2 linked regions of the Cricetulus griseus genome follow. The protein of the gene in region 2 interacts with the protein of the main gene of each other region in a pairwise test. Links are inferred from orthologs where the notes say so. Each region holds a gene or a part of one and is shown on either strand. Other genes may lie near its edges.

Region 1 (11,372 bases), about 160 Mb from region 2:
TTCCAGAGGCAGAGGCAGGTGGATCTCTGTGAGTTCAAGGCCAGCCTAGATACATAATGAGTTCCAAGACAACCAGGGCTATGAAGAGAAACCTTATCTCAAAACAGAACAAACAAAAAAGAATTTTCAGAAGATACAGTTTAAACCCCATCAAGCCATTCACTGTGGTCAAAGCTTCTAATTATTCTGAGACTTAAAACACAGTGTCTTTCTTTTTGTTGTTGTTGTTGTTGTTCAAAATGGGGAACTTGAAGAAGAAATTAATCTATCTTAAGACCGTCCAATTCCTTAAATGCTGAAGTGTGTGTGTGTGTGTGTGTGTGTGTGTGTGTGTGTGTGTGTATGTGTATTTGTCACCGCACTAAACCCAAATAATCATTTTCGTCATGTTGTGGCTGTGAGTTTCTAAGTGTCCTATTCTGTAATTCAGCTTTTCATCTTAAAATGAGCCAAGGAAGAGGAGAATGTACACAATTACACCAATAGCAGAAGACACAGCCTGTAGTCCATGATGTTTAACACTGGCCTTACGTCCTTCCACACATACTGTTTGTGTTTCTCTTCTGCTTATGGAGGCTAACTATGGCCATGGCTGACAAAAGTTCTCTCTCTATTTTCCTGCACGGTAGAAGGCTAAATCTGTTAGGTGTTTCAGACGATTGACTTTTACTTTGTTGGGTATGTGGAGACCCATAGATTGGGAATGTTGTGTTCATGATCTCTGGTGTATGTCTTCTTAGCATAGTTGTGAAGTCAGGTAATAGTACAGCATAAAGCTTTGGATAGCCCCACAACAATGCATCTGGTTAATCCATATTCTTTTGTGTCTGGTTTTTTCCTTCCTTTATTTCAGCAAATTGATGGAGAAGCGTTTTTACTTATGACCCAGACAGACATTGTGAAAATTATGAGCATTAAGCTGGGCCCAGCTCTCAAAATTTTCAATTCTATCCTGATGTTTAAAGCGGCGGAGAAGAATTCCCACAATGAACTGTGATGACAGTGAATTTGGGTACCATCAGCTTCCGCTTTAATGCTCATCATGTTTATTCAAAGCACAAGGACGGTTCTAGCTCCTGACTGAGAAGTCTCCAGGATCCCAAGAGCAGCGCTATGGGATTCCATCCGTCCCTCCGGACTGCATATACATTCTTAGGAAACGCCTGGGCTTCTCACCAGCTGCTGTCCAGCAACGGTCATCTTTCAGTTCTGCTCACTGAGCTAAACTTACCTTTGTAAATCTTTTGGAGGTGGGAGGAGGGTGGGGAAATGGGGGCTTCATTATTTATGGATGGGGGGCAAAATAAGAACTTCGGCATTTTGTAAACATTGTTGGATTCTCTTTCATGTACACTTTCTTTTTTTCAATACTTTCAGAAACCTTTTTATATAACTGAATTTCAACCTAAACCAAATCCGTTGAAACCTGGCTGAGTTGAGCCTGGGACTAGTGTCAGTCGTGTTCGCCCTGTGCCATATTTGGAATTGCAGCATTAGCCAAGTGTAACTTTGCGAGTCACGATATTGCCTAACTGTGTGTCATCATTTGTTGGGACTGAAGAACTGTAAATACTATCTTTCTTTGAATCCATGTTTTTACTTTTGCACGCATTATGAGTTGTTAAACAAATTACTTTTCACCAGCATCTTTACTGTTATTACCAAAAAAAATGTATATAAAAGAACAGAATTGAGAAATAAAATATATAAACCTACTTAGGTTTGAATGAAGTAGTGTATCTGGGCGGAATCAGTTGTGCACAACATGGTGCCCATGTGTTTACACCAGTGGGTATCTGAGGATTATTCGGTTACATTCCAGGGGATGTTCATCAGGAGCTTGATTTAGGAGATTATTGTGTGCATCTCTGTAAATGACATGGAAGTAACTGGTGCTTTATAGAAAAGGACTCTTTCTGTTGATGGAAACACTAATCGTTCAAGAGATCCCATCAGTCATAGGTCCTCCAGACCCAGGGGATTTCCTCAGAGTGAGCTGAGAAGCAGGGCATTGATGTTACTGCACAGACCTGGTGTGACATTGTTAACACCAGCAGACCCCAAAATTCTCCATGCTCACAAGTCGAGGAAGTGGTTCCCAAAGCCATTATTTGGGAACCTCCAATGTGGAAAGATTCCTTTTCCTATGAAATATTTTGCCTTGATTTTTAAGCATCTGGATGCACTTTAAATGAAAGCCCTGGGTTATTTATAAATTCATAGCTGGCTCTGTTTCTTTTGTAAGCATGCACTTCTAGGGGGAAGGTAAATTATTTTGTCAGTCTTTTGATGTACTTTCTAATTCCAGGATTAGACATTTGTCCAAGGACTGCTTTAAAAATAGGAAGTTTAGTAGCATGCTGTCGGAACTCTGGGGAGAGTCCCACCTCTTTCCATAAACTCTTTAATGTTTTTCTGATGTAGGACTTCCTTTGATGTGCCATAGTAGGAGTTTATTATCAGTCCTTTGCATTTGTCATGATTCAAGGTAAAACAGGGTCCCTGACATCTGCAGTGTCCAATTCATTTCTTTGCATGAATCTGCTAAATAAGCTTTTTATTGTTATTTTTCCCTTTTTCGTTGTGTTCAGTATTTGTACATTAACTTGCACTTGTTACATGTGATATGAATGAAATAAAATCTTAATTACAGATTCTTTTTATATATGTATGATTTTTAAGGAGGTTATTAAATAGGAGATATAGAGAAAACCAGGAATAATATCATATCTAAGAAAAGCTATATAAGGCCTGGGTATATATTTGAACACCTACCTGGCATTTATAAGACCCTGGGCTTGATCTGCTCCACTACAAAGCGATAACGAATAAATAGCATTAGAGATACCATAGGTCTGGGAGTTGCCTCGATGCTAAAGTGCCTGTTACAAAACATGAGGACCTGAGTTTGGATCCCCAGCACCTGTGTAGAAATCAGGCATATCTGTAACCCCAGTGCTGTGGAAACAAAGGCAAGTGGATCCCTGAAGCTAGGAAGCCTAGGTGAATTTATGAATCCCAAGTTTAGTTAGTTAGAGACCATGCCTCAAAAGAGCATAGGTAGTGAGGCTAGAGAAGTAGGCCAATGGTTCAGAGTACTTGGATCTCAGCCACCTTTAACTCCAGTTCCAGGGGATCCAACCCCTTCTTCTGGCCTCCACAGGCAGTAGGCACATACACGGTGTACAGACTGCAGGCAAACACCCATACTTCTTTTTTGTGTTTTTGGTTTTTTTTTAATAAAAAAAAGAAGAGGAAGTGGGGAGAGTAGTGATACAAGAAGACACAGGAATATAGCAGACGGCCCACTGGCCCACACAGACACACACGAACAAGTCCACACACCACAAAGAAAAGGTGAGTGTGGCAGGGGCACAGCATAGCGATCTAAGGACTGTAATATTGAGTATTTTTGTGTATTTGTGTACTTCGATGGTAGGATAAGTCTTAAAAAAACAAATAAAAACCCTTTAAAAATCACATTTTTAGCCCAAGTAGTTTTCATCCACACTGAGAATTTTTTTCCTTTCTAATTTAAATTTAAAGTGTATGCTATAATGAAAGAGATTTTTAAATCTTATTAAAGATTTTACTCAAGGCTACACAGAGAAACCCTATCTGGAAAAACAAAACGGCAACAGAAGATTTCACTCGGAAGCAGTATGTCTTCCGAGAAAAACAAAACACTGAACATTCTTGGGTGGCATAGGATTCATTGTGATCAACCATGATATCTTTTTGCTGTCTCATCACTGCAATATGGACTAGGTGCACTTCTTTCTAAAACATTAAAGTTCAAGATGTTTCTAATCAGGGTTCTAACCAAAGAGACCAAAGAGGTTGTCCAACTCATGGGTTTTCAAGCCATCACGCGCTGAGTTAAATTCAGGGTCAGACCCTAACTGGGAGAATTTCACCTCATAATGTCCTTTAAAAACTGACACTCCTGAATGAGTAACCTTGGCCATAGAATACCTACAAACTCAGATCATATTCAAAGCTTTTTAGTAGTATTTTATTACCAAACACAACAGAGAGCTTAAGTATCTAACTTAAGGACAGAAGCATCAAAAATTCACTGACATTTGAGACAACATGATTCTTCAATCCTTACCTCTAAGGCAACCCTAAATCAATTTGCAGTTGTTTATGAAGCTTCGGCCACCCTGGGAGGTCAATTTGGATAGTCTTAAGTGATAGGAGATTGACATCTGATTTCCTTTTCTTTCAAAGATGGAAAACAGGGACTCTGCACATCAAAGATCAATGTCTCCAGGAAGTTAAAGGTTTGGGACAGTCTTCTCGGACACTCAATCCCAAACACATGGAAAGCAGCCACCAAAGCAGCCAGGGCTGTGATGCAGTCATCCACCTTGACAAGCTTCTCTTTGTCTAGATACAGAGAAAACTCACAGCCATTGATGTGGAAAGGGTTTTTAACTCCCAACACCGGGGTGGATGCATGTACCTAAAAAAAGAGGAATGACATCACTACCCACTGATATGTCAAACAGCTAAATAATAAAGCATGCCTGCACGTCACACAATGTTAGCAGTAAATGAGCTAGTTACAATATAGCCTAATGGTAATACAATGAAATGACTTGAGTAGACCACTGACCTTATACTCAAGTTATACGAAGGTATAAAATGAATGGCCATAAATATACTACATACCTTCTCATTCACAACGACAAAAAGGCTGGGATCATCCCCAAAAACATCTGGGAGGAGTAAACATGTGGCGGTCATCTTCATATCTGTCAGAGTAAGCATGTCCAAGTAAAAGAAATGGGCTTTTGGAAATGGTAAGAAAAACTAACATGAAAATGTGGGATTTGCTTTTTATTAAATTATTGCTACCTTCCAGTGTGAAAAGCAAATCTTCTCAAGTGAGTATTTCACAACCATTTTTTGCATGTGTAAGTGTGGTCTGTGTCCATATGTGTTTGCATCTTTACATACGTGTGGGTGTGCGTGCAAGTGCGTGTGGATACCCAGAGTTGACACCCAGTGTCTTCCTCTACTTATTTACTGAAGCAGGGTCTCCTGCTGTACCTAGAGTCTGCACATTCAGTCAGTCCTGCGCTAATAGCCAGCTTCCCTCAGAATCCTGTCTTTGCCTCCCAAGTACTGGGATTGCAAATGGCCAGCACAACTGTCCAGAACTCCAGCCCTCATGCTTGCACTGCAAACACTTTACTCTGATCATCTCCCCACGCCTCACAACCATTTTTAACAAAGATTTTTCTAATGAAAACTTCCAAACTTCAGGTTTACCCTCTAGGTCATGGCCAACAGAGACCAAAGTTCTGGGCTGTGCCCATTTGCCAGGATGATTTAATGTGTTTGGCCTTGTAGTGTGTCTTGTAAGATTACAGGGTACTGGTGCCGATAATATAATTTATAATATTGAGTGAAGTTTTTTTAAGGTTTTATTTATTATGTGTATAACATCCTGCTTCCATGTATATCTGCACACCAGAAGAGGGCACCAGATCCCTTAATGGATGGTTGTAAGCCACCATGTGGTTGCTGAGAATTGAACTCAGGACCTCTGGAAGAGCAGTCAATGCTCTTAACCTCTGAGCCATCTCTCCAGCCCCTTGAGTGTACTTTTTTAACCCAAGCTTTTTTCTCTCTCTGTTTGAAAAGCTGTTTTCCGTCTCACTAAATTTCACTTAATGCAACAAAACACTTCTGTCTATAGTTGCAGAAATGGCTGAGACCGCCCCATCCCTGGGCTTTACTGACTCTTCCGCACTCCTTCATCTGTATAGTGTTTCATCTTCTCTTGCAGTGCCGTATTGATTGGATTGTCCACCACTGAAAAGGCAGACAGTATATTTTCTGAGTAGGATTCCAGAATATGCTTTGTTTTCTTATAAATATCTGTTTTCGTAAGAAGCTGGACTTCTCGGAACATCTGATAGAAGAAAGAAATACGTATGTCAGGCCACATGTGAAGGTTACTAGTGTTCAGAATATAAGGGAGTGGATCTCTCATTAACATTGTATTAAGTGTTCACAAATGACTTGGAGTATATACCTGAGTTTTTGGTGGCTCAGTGTATTGGATGCAGGACAAGGAGAAAAAGAATGAAAGTCTGAAGTGGATAGTAAAACAAAGAGTGGATACAGAATTAAAACTTTGGAGCCTGGAATGGTAGCACACACCTTAATCCCAGTGCTTGGGAGGCAAGGCAAGTAGATCTCTGAGTTCAAGGCCAACCTGGTCTACAGAGTGACTCCAGGACAGCCATGACTATATAGAGAAACCCTGTTTTGAAAAAAAACAAAAAACCTTCAGGAAACTTTTCTTCCTTTTGTTCTATTTTAAGGAATTGGATGTTTTCCAATACTAGAATTGAAATTAAGGCCAAGCCCGGCAGTGGTGGCACACACCTTTAATCCCAGTACTCAGGAGGCAGAGGTAGGTGGATCTCTGCGAGTTTGAGACCAGCCTGGTCTACAGAGTGAGTTCCAGGACAGCCTCCAAAGCTACAGAGAAACCCTGTCTTGCTGTCTCGGGAAAAAAAAAAAGGAAATTAAGGCCAATTACAAATTAAAAATTTAGATATAAATTCTACTAAATGAGGATCACAAAAAGTAAATACACATGTATACTGGCTGTTTGGGTCACAGGATTAGAAGTCTAGACACATTTCTTTATATAAACCACATTGTTACCATTACAGTTCAGTTTTCTTAACTTGACATAAATCTAGACATAGCAGGGAAGAGAGACTCTCAATTGAGAAATGGCCTCTATTAGAGTGGACAGTGGGGATGTCTGTGGGTGTCTTCTTAATTGCTAATTAATGTAAGAGGGCCTAGATGGCACCTTCCAGGGCTCTGTAAGAAAGGCAAATCTGGGAGGCAAGCTAGTAAGCAGTATTCCACCATGGTTTCTGCTTTAGTCCCTGCCTCGCCTTTTCCTGATGATGGACTGTGTAACCTATTAGCCAAATTGTTTTGGATCTGTGTTATCACAGCAACAGAAACCAAGCTAGGACAGTTATGTTTCATTAGCATCCCAAAAGAGAAAAAAACAGGAACACTACTCTTGAAAAGTAGCCAATCAGGCTGGAGAGATGGCTCAGAGACTAAGAGCACTGACTGCTCTTCCAGAGGTCCTGAGTTCAATTTCCAGCAACCACATGGTGGCTCACGACCATCTATAATGAGATCTGGTGCCTTCTTCTGGTGTGCAAGTATACATACAGGCAGAACACTATACATAATAGATAAATAAATCTTTTAAAAAAAGAAAGTAGCCAATCTTAGGACGCTAAGGGAGTGTTTTAGAGACTGTAAGATGAGTTAAACAATAAACATCTGGAAGAGTTAAGCCCCAAATCAAAGGAAAAACTGATGGAAGCCTCTTGACTCCAAACTACTTTTCCCTACCTTTCCCAGAATTTCCTAAATTTGGACTCCCAGAGAATTCCATCCCTATTGCCACTCCTCCTGTTGACAGAATGAAGCCATCAGACCCCTCGTTATCTACACCAATATGGTTAATTTAGTCACCACTGTTCTTAAAATTGTAGCATTCCTTACAATTCTTTAGATATTTTTGGTAAATCATAAATTGACCAAGGATTAGGTCTGAAAGTTAAGTCATTCGGAGCTGGAAATCATGTCCTCATCAAGGGACCATGGCTCTTGTGAGGCAGCTCAATTAAGAACTGGTTGTTCCTCTTGACCTGCCAGACTTCATCATTTGTTTGGGAAAGTTTGTTTTGGGTTTTGCCCTTGACTGGGAAAAATGAAACCTAGGGGTGAATCTTACTCACAAGGCATAGACTTCTGGATGCCATGTGAGTGCCTGAGTGCTTCAACTCATCACACCAGCCCCAAGCTCTTAACAACACTTTATGCTTCCTGTATCAGCCCTCAGTCATGCAGCAGCCTCGGTTTTCAAGGCATTAAGGAGACCAGATCTCAGACAGTGAGCTTCTTCCTATGTCCCCCACTTATTCCAAAATCCTGCCCAGCACACAACAATTGTCTATCATTCTCAAACTCTCGGCTCTTCCTGCTGGCCTGAGTGGGACCACTAATTGCTGCTTGTCCCCACCTGTTCGGTACAGCCACCTCAGTGTAGCTCTGCACAGCAAGCCTCCCTTACCAAGGATCTGAGTCCCTAAGGCCTGCAAGCAACTGCCTATCTATTTTTGTTCCTTAGCTCTATCCAGGCTGGCGGTGGAAACTCCAGGTCAGTAATCGTACACCAGTAGAGCAAATCAAAACTCAGGTTCTTTACATTTTCCCATGCTTTATTCACTTTGCTCTTAGGTATTTCAGTGAAGTTATGGGTTTGGTTTTGAGTCAAGGTCTTACTAGGTTGCCCAAGTTGGTCTTAAACTCTCTGTTGTAAAAGCTCTTCCTGCTTCAGCTTCTGATTGGCTGGGACAACAGTTTCATACCACAGAACCCACTTTCACCTAACCAAGGGATGGATGCTGAGACTGCTTCATGGAAGGAGAAAGTCACAGCACCTCACGGGGCTCTAGAAACTTCAAGCATTTAATTTTTTTCTCTTCCCTCCTAACTCCCTGCCTCACTTGACTTTCATCTTATCCTTAAAGAGCAGAATTCTAGTTAAAGTTGTATACAATCTAATGTGATTTTTATAATTAATTTTTAAGTTTTTCTGTTAAGGGAAGCAGAGGCAGGCAGATCTTTATGAATTCAAGTCCAGCCTGGTCTACAGAATGAGTTTCCCAGACACACTCCAAAACTACACCGAGAAACCCTATCTCGAAAAACAACAGCAACAACAAAAACAAACAAAAATATTTTTTGAAAAAGTTTTAAAGGAGAGGATACTAATGTTTATAAGATGGTGAAGTGTCAGGGTTGACTGCCGCTCCCTCCCCCCACCCCCAGCCACTTCTCTTTCTTCTTCAGAACCTGTATCAGTAGCAAATAAACTCTGGGTGGTGACAGACAGTGGAACAGTGAGATCACTTTATACCCTGGTTGATTTTTCTCGACTTGATTCAAACCCAGGCTCATCTGAGGAGAGGGAAACTAAACTGAGATAATGCCCATATCAGACTGGCACATAGGCAGGCCTGTGCAGGGCATTGTCTTGATGGCGAGTGTGGGATGGCTCAGCTCACTGTGGAGAGCGCCACACCTTTTGGGCAGGTGGTCCTTGCTCAGAAAGCAAACCGAGAAAGCCAAGGTGAGCAAGCCAATAAGCAGTATGCTTCCATGGCTTCCATTTCAGTTCCTGGCTCTTGGTTCCACAATCCTGGTGACAGACTATGATGTGAAAATGAAATCCAAATAAACCCTTTCTTGATGAATTGGCTTTTGGCTATGGTGATTTATCCTAGAAATAGAAACACTAAGACACTTTATAAAATGATTTGATATTATAGAAGACAAAGAAAACTGTTACTTGGAAAGTGTTCTGAACAAACCATCTCTACTGTCCAAATGCATGCAAAATGGAGTTATTCGTGTGAAAAAAATACCCTAACAGTACAGACACCTCACCCCCAACCTGGAGTGTGCTTATACAGGGAATTCTGATCCCAAAGACAACAGCACTGGTTATCTCAACAGTCCTCCTCACACTGTCCTGGGACTCACACACCCACTGTCTTGCCAGGCTGTCTGGCCACTACTCCAGAGGAAAGAGGGAGAAAAACAAACGTGACACCAAGACCAGAGACTGTTCTAGTGAGTAGCTTACCTGGTAAGGACACTTCAGGAAAGGAAACATCTTAAGAATGTCCTTGAGAGGTGTTCGGCAGCCAATCATCTTTCTTCTGATTTCCAAAGTCTGACTCATCCTCCTGTCAATTTCTCTCCAGTCCTTGTCTGTTTTCGTGTACTCTCGCTGGAACCAGTGGATATGTTCATTCACCTCGGAATCTAAATAAACAGATTCTTCCTGCCAAACATTTCAAAGTATCCGTTAGTCTCATGTTTCAAGGCAGTTAAATACATCACGGAAACTTGGCTCTCTGAGAGACTGTCGTCCTGCTCTTTATGATGTATCCCTAAGGTGTGGATTGCCATGTGTCATTTCACTTGGCCTTGAACATTGTTAGCCAAGGAAGAGTCATTTATGATAGAAAATTAGTTTCTTTTTTCTTTTTTTATTTGAATTAGAAATAAGATTGCTTTACATGTCAAACCCAGTTCCCTCTCCCTCCCCTTCTCCCCTACCACTCCCTCAACTAAAACCCTACCTATGACATACACTTTCTGTTCCCCAGGGAGGGTGAGGCCTTCAATAGGGGTCATCAGAGTCTGTCATATCCTTTGCAATAGGGCTTAGGCCCACCCCTGTGTGTCTTGGCCCAGGGAGTATCCCTCTATGTGGAATGGGCTCCCAAAGTCCATTCCTAAGCTAGGGATAAATTCTGAACTACTACAGGAGGCCCCATGGATTTCTGAGGTCACCTCACTGACACCCACATTCCTGGGATCTGGATCAGTCCCATACTGATTTCCCAGCTATCTTTCTGGGGACCAAGGGCTCCCCGTTGTTCAGGTCAGCTGTTTCTGTGGGTTTCACCAGCCTGGTCTGGACCCCTTTGCTCATCACTCATCCTAATTAGATAGTTTCTTACAGTGGAATTATAGTCTATGCTTTTTTTCTTAAAGGACTGTATTTGTTTTTATTTATGCCAGTGTGTCTATTTGTCTGGATGTGCACCATGTATTGTATTGGCAGTTGAGCTGTTCAGGACAGGTGCTGAAGCTGAACCCAGGTTCTTGGCAATAGCAGCAAGTGCTATGAGCTTCTGAGCTGTCTTTCCAGGCACCTGTAGTCTTGACAAATTTTAAAGAGCTATATTAATTCCTACTTATTTGGTTACATGCAATCAGATTCTCCAGAAAATTCACTTTATCACAATGTTATTTCTATGAATTTAATTCTTAGAAGACAAGAAAGGGTTTTAAGTAAGGTTTTGTTATTTTTCTCTCTTTTGTGCCTGTGTGTGTGTGTGTGTGTGTGTGTGTGTGTGTGTGTGTGTGTGTATGTTTAGGGGTACACATGTATGCCCATGAGTGTGGAGGTCAGAGGTTGACATTAGATTTCTTCCTTGATAAGTGTCTATAATGTTATGGAATTGAACCTGAAGGTCACCAGTTGCCTGGATTGGCTGACTGGGAGGCCCAGGGATCCTCTAGTCTTTACCTCCCCACTAATGGACTAGAGTTACCGGTTCATGTCACCATACCGACATGAATGTGGAACACTGAACTCAGATCCACATTTATTTAATAAACACTTTACCCTCTGAGAAGTCTACCCAGATCTGTATTTTTTCTTAAGTGCTTGCTTTGTAGTTGCCAAGCATGCCAAGCCACCAAAATTTAAAATAACAACTGTTTTGTGT
Region 2 (13,302 bases):
CAGAAGAAAGGATGAGAAGAGGACAATGTAAAAGCACATTCAACAACAGAAAACTCAATATGACACCATCGGAGACTAGGAACTAAACACCAGCAAGCCCTGAGCATTACAATGCAGATGAAACAGAAGAGAATGACCTTAAAAACATCTTCATGAAAATGATAGAGGACCTCAAAGAGGACATGAGAAAAATCCCTTAAAGAAATGGAAGAAAAAACAAACCAAAAAATAAAAGATACCAACAAATCTCTCAAGGAAACAGTTCAAGACCTAAAAACTGAAATGGAGACAATAAAGAAAGCACAGTCTGAGGGAATGCTGGAAATAGAAAAGCTGGGTAAACGATCAGGAACTACAGATGCAAGCATAACCAACAAAATACAAGAGATGGAAGATAGAATCTCAGGAGTTGAAGGTACACTAGGAGAAATAGACTCATCAACCAAAGAAAATCTTAAGTCCAACAAATCCCTAACACAAAATATCAAGGAAATATAGGACACCGTTAAAAGACCAAACCTAAGAATAATAGGTATAGAAAGTGAAGAAATCCAACTCAAAGGGACAGAAAACATATTCAACAAAATCATAGAAGAAAACTTTCCCAACCTAAAGAAAGACATGCCAATGAAAGTACAAGAAGCCTACAGAACACCAAATAGACTGAACCAAAAAAGGTCTCCTCGACACATAATAATCAAAACACCAAACATACAGAATAAAAAGAAAATATTAAGAGCAGCAAAGGAAAAAGGTCGAGAAGGTGAGAGGACACCAGGAGCCAGCCACCCAGCCACAGAGTAAGAAGGAAAGAAAGGTATATTGAACAGAGAAAGGTAAAAGGCAGATGCAGAGGCAGAAGGTAGATGAGATAATGTAAGGAAACCTAGCAAGAAACAAGCCAAGCTAAGGCCAGGCATTCATAAGTAAGAATAAGTCTCTGTGTACTTATTTGGGAGCTGGGTAAGCTAGGTAGCAGCCCCCCCTCCCCAAAGTTAAATATATAATCGGATCCCCGGAACTGTAGTTAAGAATAATTATAAACATGTGGGTGCTATAAACTGATTCTAGGTCCTCTATAATAGCAAGTACTCTTAACCATTAAACCATTTCTCCAAGACGGGGTGGTGATGGTGCACACCTTTAAACCCAGCACTTGGGAGGCAGAGGCAGGCAGATCTTTATGAGTTCAAGGCCAGCCTTGTCTACTGAGTTCTGGGACAGCCTCCAAAGCTACAGAGAAACCTTCTCAAAACAAACATGTCTCAAAACAGGAGCTGGTGAGTGCTTGCCATGCAAACATTAAGACCTGAACTTAAATCCCAAGTAGGGCATGATATGCACATGTGCTGTGGGCAGATAGGACTGCTGGGGTTCACTAGTCATAGTCAAACTCCAGGTTCAGTGAGGCCTTGCTCAACGGGTAAGGCAGTGATCACAGCCAATACCTGATTGTCCTCTTTTGGCCTGACCATGTATATACACAAATGCCAGAGACAAACTGAAAAAAGCCTACCACAACGCAAGGTGGTTACTAGTAACCTCAGAAATCAGGAGTCCAACCTGGATCAAAGCTTTCCTACTACTGCCCAATGCTATTACCAAGTGTTTTGAGATCCAAGGCTTGGTTCTAAAGCTTTGATTCCATTCCCCAAATTACTTGGTATACTTAAACCTGCAAGGGCCCAACCACACCTACTAGAAGGTTGGCCCCTTGTGATATTTGACTAGGGTAATTGCTAAAGAAACCATTTTAGGAGGTTATATTTGTAATATAGAAAGAACTCTGTCGTATGGAGTTTAGGTTAAGTCAGATGGGTAACACCTATAACCCAAGCATCAAGGAGGCCAACGCAGGAGGACCAATCTGTTCTGCAGTGAACCACAGAAAGACCAAATCTGGATCCTCTGATAGAACAGCCAGTGCTTTTAACCATTGACTGAGTCACCTATCTGGCTTCCTGTGCTGATTTTCTTTGCCAAAACAAATTAACAAGTTTTGATTTAAGATTTGGAAGACAGGCATGCTCAGGAAATAATGAGGATAAGAACAGCACACCTCTGTAACAGAGCAACTGTACCCCAGATCATACTTGTTGTACAATGTTGCTAACTTTTGTCAAGCGGGAAGAATAAATTGCAATTGATTATTAGATGGGCCTAGGATACTCAGACTATGGTGAGTTATCTTCATGATTGATATGGGAATGCCCAGGCCACTATGGCTTGTGCCACCCCTGGGCAGGTGGCCCAGGCCAGTGTAAGAAAGCAAGAGAAGGGGAGCAAGGCAGAAACATTTCTCTTTGGTCTCCGTTACAGCTCTTGCCCAGAATTCCCTCTATGTTGAACTATGAACTTGATGCTGAAATAAACCCTTTTCTCTCCAAGTTGCTTTTGGCCAGTAGTTTATTACAGAAATAGAAAGCAAACCAAGACAGGGCCTAAGTATAAGATAAGCCCATGGTTTTAATATCACTTATCTAGGCCGGGCATTGATGGTGCACACCTTTAATCCCAGCACTTGGGAGGCAGAGGCAGGTGATCTCTGAGTTCGATGCCAGCCTGGTCTACAGAGCAAGTGCCAGGATAGGCTCCAAAGCAACACAGAGAAACCCAGTCTCCCCCCCCCAAAAAAAGTATCACTCATCTATGTAAGGAAGCCAAATTCATCCTCAAAATTTATTTATTTAAGAAACCTTCTTTCTCAGAACTCTTAACTCTGCAGCTTAAAGGGAGAAACCCACCTTAAATTACTAAACACCGTCACTCATTTACTTATTTTATTCGGAAATGTTTATAACAGTACATTGATACTAAACCTTCAGAGACAATGGATGTCATCAGTTTAGGCATCATCAGTTTATTATAAAAGGGAGGCACAGAAATTATTTACATGATGAATAGTTCAGAATGTCGGCGGAATGGGCAGCTTCATGTGATACCATTTCAACAGTGATTTCAGTCCGTATATTTTCCAAGAATGTCAGCATCTCTAAATAAGAAATAATCCTGTGAATAAAGAAACCACCAGTTAAGACAGTAAAAGCAAACACACAACTCATTTTAGCTTTATTGCTTGGTGGTAGCACGTCTTTAATTCCAGCACTTGGGAGGCAAAGGCAGGCAAATCTTTGTGAGTTCAAAGCCAGCCTGGTCTACAGAGGAGTTCCAGGACAGCCAGAGTGACACAGAGAAACCCTGTCTTGATTTAAAATAAAAATCATAGCTTTACTTACCTTGTCGTCTAGAACTACTTTGGTGCCTCCATATTCTGGGAGAAGAACTTTGTCTCCAACTTTCACACTGACCGGCTGAATCTCTCCACCCTTAAAAAAAATAGTTGCTTATTAGAAAGGGCATCTTGTTCACAAGACACACAATGAACACTTTCTTTCCGTACATACACCAGGAGCCTCCTGCCTCAGCTCTCTAAGTGTTGTTAATTATAGGCATGTATCAACCACACTAGGCTCTATAGACAACTTTTAAACCACATGAAATGTGCTCACTCAAATCTAGTATGTTGTTTGGTACCTAATTAGTTGTTAAGCAATATAATTTACATTAAATGTAGATCATCACAATATAAGCATCACTGTAGTTACAATTTGAAATAAACAGTGGCTTAGCTAAAACTGCCTTTCAGTGAACAGCTACGGTTGGCTAACATTTTAACTATTAAATATTAACACACCCTAGAGACCAGGTGAAATAAAGCAGCTTTTAATACCAAAATAGTAAATGGTCACATATGACTTTGATGAATAAAAATTTGCTATTTGTTTTCTTTATTCAATGTCCTTGTCCTCAAGGCATAGGCTTGGTCAGAAACTGAAGTAGCACACTACAGAGGTTTAGTTAAGTGGAAAACCCAGAGTATTTCCATTTCCCTTCTCAAATATGACAACTAAAGCTACCAGTGGCATAAGATTAAAACAATTTCAGTGCCTGAGTTAAGCCATCAGCCAGCCCCCATCCCCACCATTTCACCCTTTCTTTTTGGGGAAGGAGGAGACAAGTCTATGTAGCCTTGAGTGGCCATTAATTCTGGGTCCTTCTGCCTCAGCTCAGCCCCACCACCACCAGAATTCTAGTGGTATTATTACCACTTTCAATTCTGAAAAAAAAAAAAAAAAACAAAAACCCCACCACCCAGGGTTTATCTAACTGTATGATGTTTTGTCTATTTAAAACTGTGAAAAGTAGGTTACAACAAACTACCAAAGGTAATATATTTTGTGACGTTTTGTTTTTCCTTTTTAATTTTTTTTTTTGAGATATGGTCTCACCCTGTACCTCCTGATGGCTTAAAAGACTCTACAATCCTTCTGCCTTGGTCTCCAAAGTACCATGGCCACAAGGCATGAGTCACCATAATGGCAGTTAATCTCTGGAGTGTGTGGCACTGCAGAAAGAGCTCAGTACTGGAACCCAATTTAGGGAATCTCAACACTAGTAAAAAGGCAGTAACCCAAACATACTGAGGGCTGGAAACAACTCTGCAAACCAGCAGACATGCACATACAATGTCTTACACACACACACACACACACACACACACACACACTTCTCATGTGTACATTTTGCCTTTTTTTATAGAATGCCTCTCCATTCCTTAGAAAAATAAAACAACTCCACAATGGTTTTCCTTCATGCGCGGTTCTTTGTGAAGTTAAATTATTTCAAAAAAAGACATCTACTATTTTAAAAGCCACTTGGTAATCTAGGATTTTCTACTCCTTTCCTTCCATATCACATATAAGACTCAGTACTGCTGTAGTAGCTCCCAGTTACCTTTCCTTTCGAGCCTGATCCCACAGCCACTACTGTTGCTTGCAATACTTTTCCTTGAGACTTTTCTGGAAGCATAATGCCACCTTTGGTCACAGTTTCGGCGGCACTCCTTTCAACCAATACTCTGTCAAAGAGCGGTAGAAACTTTTTGAAAGCTTGTCCAGCCTGCGGAGAGAAACGTGTTCAAACGGACTGTCATTGCGTTCGCAGCGTCAGACCACGAACAGTTAATACCGCTGCATGCCTTAACCTATAACGGGTCAAACGTCCCAAACTGACAAGAAAAATCTAGGTGTGCCTTTAGAAAATATTCTTGGATGTTTCATACCCTGTATATTTTAGTGCGTGTGGGTGGGTGGGGGGGTGTCTTCATTGCCCATCAGCACCCACACTACCTTTAACCACAACCTTGGTCTCCTCCAAGGTCAAACGTTTTCCTTCTTTAGATTTCTTTTTTTAATTCTAGTAACGCCGGGGAGAGAGTATCAATTTTTGAGCTGGGTCATATATTCTCCAACACAGTATACGTCCATGAAAGCCCTGGCAGGGCAGGTGGGCTACTGAGTGTGCATCCGGGTTCCCGCCCCCTACCCCGGGCTCCTGCAGCACACGTGCGTGCAAAGAGGCCGTGGTGGAGAACCGCATCGGACAGGCCTCGCTCCTGCGGAACCCGGGCGGGCGCCGAACACTGCGTGGCCCCCTGCCCTGCCGGTGCTAAACCGGCACACAGGGGGGGACACCGTGGGTCGCGGGGGACCCCGACCCGCAGGCAGGCCTGCCAGCCCAGGGACACTCACCATGACTCGCGCCGCCGCCGCTCGGACTCTGCACTCGGGCCGCCGCTGCAAGGAGAGTCCTGAGGTCCGGCTCGGGACACGTGAAAAAGCCACGCAGCGCGCAGGCGCAGGCGCACGCGGCCCCCCCCCGCGAGCGTGAGAGAGGGCGGCCACGGCAGCGCGCGCGCCGATTGGTGGCGAGGACTCCGCGCAGGCCGCCGAAGGGGGCAGCCGGAGGCGGAAGAAAAGGGGCGCGCTTTCTAGGCTTTTCCAGGCGGCCCGCTGAGGTGAAAGAACGAGCCCTTCGTCCTCCTCCCGGAAATGACGCCACCTGACCCTTGACCCACGGGAGGCGCAGCGCCCTTCCGGAAGGTTCTAGAACGGAGCGAGGCCCAGGAACCAGCGTAGGGCGGCGGGAGAGGGTTGAGCCCGCGGGGCTGAGACCGCTCGGGTACGGGGGGGGCGGGGCCACCCGCGCCGCATGCTGATTGCAGGGCCCGGGCGTGGGAGGGAGCGGGGCGCGCGCGCACGCGGGGCCGCGGGGCGGGGCCGCGGAGGGAGGGGACTCGGACTCATTGCGGTGCGCGCTCTGCGCTCGGTCCCTCACTCGCCGCCGACGGCCTGCTTCGCCTCGTGCCCTCCCGCCGCCGCCCCGCAGGTACACGGCCTCGACGTGCATGGCGCCCGGGAGCTCGCCGGCCTGCTTCCGGCTGGGCCCGAGCATGGCGGGCTAGGGGACAAGGCTGGCAGCGACGCCGCAGGCTCTGCCGGCCTGTCCAGGCCCGACGGGGCCACGCGGGTTTCATCACGTGCGGCGGGGACCACGCGACCCAGGCCAAGCGCGGGAGCGAGGACGGGCTAGGGTGGGAGCCACTTGGGCCCTCTGGTGCCACCTGCGCCTGGCGCACTGCAGGACTCTTGTCGGAGGGTGGTCGCGGTCCCTTCTCGTCCCCTCTGGCTGCGGGGATGCGGCGCCTCTACTTTGACCTTGCCTGGGGCTCCTTGTCGGGCAGACACGTGGGGCCGCGCGAATGGGCTGAGCTGCGGTCCTGGGTTTTGCGGCCTTGCTAGTTGCTGTGCTACCGTAGCTCCGGGTGGACACCTGGCGTCACTTTTCCTGAGCGGGGTTTTGCACCGTCATGAGTACTTGTATAGTTCCCTGTGCTCTTGCATTTGGAACCTGCCTCGCTTACGCCAGCTTGATTTTTTTGCCCCCCCCACACACACTTTTGGAGTGGATCTGTTCCTAAGGCCGCTTTGCCAGTGAAAGATTAACTCGCGGTGGCAGGAGTGGGTGGCCATGGGGAATGGTTTTGTGTGCTAGGGCTGCAGGTCAAGCGAGCATGGGGGCGGCCTCCTTAATCCGTTGCTAGCAATTGATGTCCTGAAGCTGCAGCGCCGTGTGTGGCCCAGGCGTGGCGGTTAGCAGAGGACTGCCAAGCTCCAGTCTAGCTAGCCTCCATGTTCTGAAGCACAGGTGGACAAGTTTGTCCGTAACTAGTAGTGATCCTTTGCTTTTTTTTTTCCCCCCCTCTCCCAGAAATGCTTCGACTACCCACAGTCCTTCGCCAGATGAGACCAGTGTCCCGGGCGCTGGCTCCTCATCTCACTCGGGCCTATGCCAAAGATGTAAAATTTGGTGCAGATGCTCGAGCCTTAATGCTTCAAGGTGTAGACCTTTTAGCGGATGCTGTAGCTGTTACAATGGGGCCAAAGGTATCAGTATACTTTAAATCGTGTTAATAAAAGAATAGTATTCTGTAGCTGCAAATTAGACAGTATTTGTTAACAAGTTTTATGAAAATCTAATTTGAGTGTAGTACATGTTAAGTGATTTGGGGGTGTTATTTAGGAGTTTCGTTAGTTGGTGGCCTTAATACTGCTGCAGCCGATTTGGGGGACTTTTGTGCAACATGATGTAATAGAGTAGTAATAGCTCAAGGAGGATTTTCAAACTTTAGGCGTAATTAATCTTGTGTGAATGCTTGCATTAAATTTTGGATCCTTTCCCAGGAGTTAGAGGGTATAGAGGGGAAAGGACAGCTCAAGACTAGTAACACCTCAGAGTGTAATTGTAGATGTGAGGTTTTACTTAACTGTACTGAAGTATTACAGTATGCATACAGTAGATGCGATAGCATAGAGTTTAGATTTATTTATATTTTTATGTGCATTGGTGTACTGTCTGCGTGTATACCCATGTGAAGATCCCAGAACTGGAGTTACAATTGTGAGTTGCTATGTGGGTGCTGGGAATTGAACCTGGGTCCTAACCACTGTGGCATCTGTCCAGCCTAAGTTAATATTTGTGACTTCGTTTGCATTGTTCTGTAACTCACCATCACACATCTCCAGAACCGTTTTCACTTGCACATGGAAAAGGCTATCTGGTCTCCCATTTATCCCTCCATTGTGCATACCTCATGATTTCTCTGCCATTTCCACATTCCAAAAGTTTGGTTTGGGGTTTTTAAGAGTCTCGATAGCTTAGTCAGACCTCTAACTCGCTTTGTACCAAGACTATCCTTGAACTGATTGTCCCAGGTATGTAACAGTTTAGTATACTATTCATCTGGTGTTTATTGAGACAGGGTCTTTAGCCATAGCTGACCTGGAACTCCTGTGGACCAAGCAAGCTTGAACCTTGAATCATTGCTGAGATCCAAGGCTGGAGTCACTCATCTGTGTGGTTGAATAAGGAGCCATAGTACTTTGAGGACATAATTGGATGTGGGGCACAGTTGCTTTAAATTGACGTTAAAGCCATCTAAAGAGCTTCGTAAAGTGCTGTTTATATAGGTCAAGACAGAATAGCTTGGTTCAAATCCAAGTTGCCAATACTGTTGGTGTCAGTTTTGAAGTTTTGAATTGCATGAGCAGGAAACAGTAAGTTAAGAACAAACTTACTGGCTGATATTTAGTGAATGGATGTTCAAGTAAATTGTACTTAAAAGCAACAGTTAATAAAAAAGTAATAACAGTTCATAACCAAAACTCGTGTACAAGTGATGGAAGGGTGTTCCAGGATTGGTGATTGTCACCTGTGCTATCTTGTTTAATAGGTGGCATCTCTTTGGGTGGGTGGGGGATGTTATCTACTGTTGTACCTCAGAGTTCCTTTTGTCTATAGACCTAAGAATGTTGATTAACTTGACCTTTGAGATTCACGTTTCAGGACTGTTAAAAGTGACAACTTTGAAGTTTATGGTTGAGGGTTGTTATTCTGTCATTGTAGGGAAGAACAGTGATTATTGAACAGAGTTGGGGAAGTCCCAAAGTAACAAAAGATGGGGTCACTGTTGCAAAGGCAATTGATCTAAAGGATAAATACAAAAATATCGGAGCTAAACTTGTTCAAGATGTTGCCAATAACACAAATGAAGAGGCTGGGGATGGCACTACCACTGCTACTGTTCTGGCACGTTCTATTGCCAAGGAAGGCTTTGAGAAGATCAGCAAAGGGGCTAATCCAGTAGAAATCCGGAGAGGTAAGAGCATGTCATTGACCCTACAGAAATGAGAGTATTGTCTCATCTTTTTCCTTTCTTAATACATTTGTTGGTGTGTGTCCATAGACAAGATGGGAGTTGTCCTCCCTACCCTTAAGGGTCTCATTTCCTTAGGTGCCGTATTGGAAACAGGCAACATGATTGGATTAGTAGTAGCTTAAGAAGAATGAATTGAGTAGTGAGGGGTTTGGTTTTTAAAATTTCATTATTTTTATGGACATTGGTGTTTTGTCTGCATGCATGTTTGTGCAAGGGTGCCAGATCACCTGAAACTGGAGTTACAGGCTTTTTAAGAATGGGTGGCTATCCCTCTTAGCCCTCCCTTGTTTTCGGGGGGCGGGGGGTGTATATTCCATGCTAGTCTTAAAAGAAATCCTCCTGCCTAAGCCTCCTGGGTATTGGGATTACAGATGTGAGCAACCACTCAACATCTTGATCAAGTTTTCACAAAGTTCATGGTTTTCAACTTAAATGTGAAATTACAAATGATTGAGTGCATATCATGTCACTTGGTACAGTTAGGACAGTGCTGACATGAGAGCTTGCATATGAATGTTAAAATGAACCTGTAAGTTCATGCTTGGTTTGGGAGCCATAAGCATTGTACTAACATTCATTCTTGAACTAGGTGTGATGTTGGCTGTTGATGCTGTAATTGCTGAACTGAAAAAACAATCTAAACCTGTGACAACCCCTGAAGAAATTGCTCAGGTAAGGGTTTTATTTCCTGCTTAAAAAGTTGGGGGTTTTTTATGTTTGTGTTTTGGTTTTTCAAGACAGGGTTTCTTTGTGTAGCCTTGGCTGTCCTGGCACTTGATCTGTAGACCAGGCTGGCCTCAAACTCACAGAGATCTGCCCACCTCAACCTCCCAAGTGCCCAGATTAAAAGCATGCACCACCACTGCCCAGTTCTTTTTTTTTTTTTTTTTTTTTTTTTTTTTTTTTTTTTTTTCATTTCTTTTTTCTTTTTTTAAACATGGTTGTACAATTAGATTATTGGGGAAGATGTTCTTAGGTGTTCTCAATGTTCCCTGCCCTATATGGGATCAGACCTAATCTTTGAAACATAGTAGGCAAGTAAATAAGAGTTTTTATGTGTGGGGGGTATGTGTGTGTGCCATGTGTGTTATGAACCCATAGAAAGTGATATTAGATGCAGTTGCCAGCTAGTGTGAGCTGGGTGGTGACCTAAACACTAAGTCACCTTAACCACCAAGCCATCTGTCCAGCCCTGTTGGTATATTCTTAATGTGCCAAAGAATGGAAGGACCATTTAACCAGTACTTCATTAAAACTGATAAGCTGGGGGCTGGAGAGATGGCTCAGAGGTTAAGAGCACTGGCAGCTCTTCCAGAGGTCCTGAATTCAATTCCCAGCAACCACATGGTGGCTCACAACCATGCATTATGAGATCTGGTGCCCTCTTCTGGTGTGCAGATATATATATGGAAGCAGAATGTTGTATGCATAATATTTTTTAAAATATACATAAAATCTTTTTAAAAAAAAAAAACAGATAAACTGTACAACGTTTCTCTCCCCTGGGTTGAAGTGTCAATTTAGAAGGTCGAAGGGGAAAAGGGTTGAAAATACTGATCTTACCATTTAATTTTGAAGTAACTGGTTATTTCAGGTTGCTACAATTTCTGCGAATGGAGACAAAGACATTGGAAACATCATCTCTGATGCAATGAAAAAGGTTGGAAGGAAAGGCGTCATCACAGTGAAGGCAAGTGTGGGGTTTGATGTGTTCTGATAACACCTTCAGGGAGGTGTGTGTCAACTGTTTTCCAAACAGAAAACTTAATTTGTTTATGCCAGCACATTCATTGGGAGCCTTACCTCCCAGAATTAAACCATCCAATTAAATAAATATAATTGGCTCTCAGCTAGCTGTGAGTAGGAGAGAATGGAGCGAGGCCTCACTTTGTAGCCCTGATTAGCCCAGAACCATAGGCCTCAACCTCAAAGGGGTGATATTTCTCTGACTTGGCTTTGTTGTGGGGAACTAAAGGTGTGGGTACCTGGTGCTTCGGATTCCACAAGAAACAGCAGTTGTGAGTCAGCAGGTGGGTGCTAAGAACCTAACCAGGTCCTCTTGAACAGCAGCAAATGTTCTTTAGGTTTAGCTGCCCAAGTATTGTTTCTTTACTGAAATCATTCATCTAATTCTTATACTTTTCATAGGATGGAAAAACCCTGAATGATGAGTTAGAAATTATTGAAGGCATGAAGTTTGACAGAGGATATATTTCCCCGTATTTTATTAACACATCAAAAGGTAAGAGCGAGTCAGCAATGAATCTTGAAAATACGCTTTAAAGGTATCTGTCAGCTGTAGGCAGTGGGTTGGTACAATCTGTAAAAATTGAAAAGTTAATAGTTCACTAAATGAATGAGTAGCAGGTCTCTCTGTAGAAGTAAATTGTTAGTTTTCTCGGTGCTGTTAGAATTTGGTTTTATTGCTCACTGTTTTACAGGTCAAAAATGTGAATTCCAAGATGCCTATGTTCTGTTGAGTGAAAAGAAAATTTCTAGTGTCCAGTCCATTGTACCTGCTCTTGAAATTGCTAATGCTCATCGTAAGCCCTTGGTCATTATTGCTGAAGATGTTGATGGAGAAGCTCTAAGCACACTGGTTTTGAACAGGTGGGCTGGGTGGTTCATATTTTTGGGTGGAAGGTGATTTGGGTTGCTATTTGAAATTCCATGTTTGATCTCTTAAAGTGGTAGTGTACATTGTGGTGCTCTATGCATTGAATGTAGTGGTTTGTTGGAGACAGTGTCAAGCTAGTCTTAAATGCACATAACCCTTCAGCCTGTACCTCTCACAGCTTCCCAGAGAGAACTGTCCATGTGTCCTTTAAAAATTCTGTCCAGATGTCAGTCTGGAACGTAAAGGCAGCAGTTCTTTAAGTAGATGATTGGCTTGGGACAAATTCATATGAGTGAGTGCCCCATCTCATCTTCAGACAGAAGTTGCTGGGGTACCTGAGTAGTTGAGTAGTGCCAGAACTTACCAGGAACCAAAGGTATTTTCTCCCAACTGCCCCTTTAGTTTAAATGTCTTTTTGGTTTTTCTAGACAGGGTTTCTCTGTAGGTTTGGAGACTGTCCTGGAACTCACTTTGAAGACCAGGGTGGTCTCGAACTTAGAGATCCATCTGCCTTCCAAGTGTCAGTTTAAATCTTACACAATTAATTAAATGTTCTTTACAGGCTAAAAGTTGGTCTTCAGGTGGTAGCAGTCAAAGCTCCAGGTTTTGGGGACAATAGGAAGAATCAGCTTAAAGATATGGCTATTGCTACTGGTGGTGCGGTAAGTAAATCTTACTGCTGTGCTCACTGAAGTTAGTGCTTCCAGCTTGCAAATAATAGAATGTACGCTTCACAAATAGATGTGGCTTTCTTTCTATTGGGTATTTGGAACATGGGGAATAATTAGGGTCACATTTCTAATTTGCTGAGTCTGGCCTAAGAATGAACATGATAAATTCAAATAAAGCTAGTTCCAATTCCTATAATAGTGATTGTAATCAGACCTTGTTCTGGGATACCAGTGGCCCTGACATCCAGGAAAACAGCATTATTTTTGTTTTTCTTTTCTGCATTTTTTACTTTGTGTGTATGTGTGTTTTGCATGCACAATAAAAGGCAGCACCTAGTCCTGTAGAACTACAGTTGTAGACAGTTGTGAGCTGCCATATGGGTGCTGGGAGGACACTTGGAAGAGCAATGCAGCCAGTGCTCTTGGATGAAGCAGTATTTCTAGCTGTTTCTCCTCACAATAGCTATGCTACATACAGTAGTAAGCTTGGTATAATGGGAGACACTTAAGTGTACACTGTGTTTACAGGTGTTTGGAGAAGAGGGGCTAAATCTAAATCTTGAAGATGTTCAAGCTCATGACTTGGGAAAAGTTGGAGAGGTCATTGTCACCAAAGATGACGCCATGCTTTTGAAAGGAAAGGGTGAGAAAGCTCAGATTGAGAAACGAATTCAAGAAATCACTGAGCAGCTAGAAATCACAACTAGTGAATATGAAAAGGAAAAACTAAACGAAAGACTCGCTAAACTTTCAGATGGAGTAGCAGTGTTGAAGGTAAGGCTATACCATTTGGTCTCTGGATCTACTGACTTTGATTCTGTGGTATTTACCAATAGTAACTAAGCAATTGCCTCCATTCCTGAAGTCTTCAGCTGTGTTTGCATAGGCACACACTT

What was found.
Region 1: the proteins of Hspd1 (region 2) and Samd3 interact in binary tests that used the Homo sapiens proteins (3 or more experiments, as listed by UniProt). The two-hybrid records come from large-scale screens. The link is inferred for Cricetulus griseus from reciprocal best matches to the Homo sapiens genes HSPD1 and SAMD3.

Annotation. Positions count from the first base shown.
Region 1 is NC_048595.1:245,299,441-245,310,812, reverse strand, and holds the end of Samd3 (sterile alpha motif domain-containing protein 3), read right to left. Parts: intron 9,914-11,372; coding exon 9,713-9,913; intron 5,927-9,712; coding exon 5,755-5,926; intron 4,761-5,754; coding exon 4,678-4,760; intron 4,469-4,677; coding exon 4,190-4,468; downstream 1-4,189. Other genes in the region: L3mbtl3 (lethal(3)malignant brain tumor-like protein 3), read left to right, coding at 854-997.
Region 2 is NC_048595.1:409,522,287-409,535,588, reverse strand, and holds the start of Hspd1 (60 kDa heat shock protein, mitochondrial), read left to right. Parts: upstream 1-6,103; 5' UTR 6,104-6,228; exon of another isoform or gene 6,229-6,309; intron 6,310-7,110; 5' UTR 7,111-7,112; coding exon 7,113-7,286; intron 7,287-8,805; coding exon 8,806-9,058; intron 9,059-9,707; coding exon 9,708-9,790; intron 9,791-10,712; coding exon 10,713-10,808; intron 10,809-11,266; coding exon 11,267-11,360; intron 11,361-11,559; coding exon 11,560-11,728; intron 11,729-12,297; coding exon 12,298-12,397; intron 12,398-12,934; coding exon 12,935-13,180; intron 13,181-13,302. Other genes in the region: MOB-like protein phocein, read right to left, coding at 4,795-4,959, 5,592-5,594. UniProt on the Homo sapiens protein: Chaperonin implicated in mitochondrial protein import and macromolecular assembly. Together with Hsp10, facilitates the correct folding of imported proteins.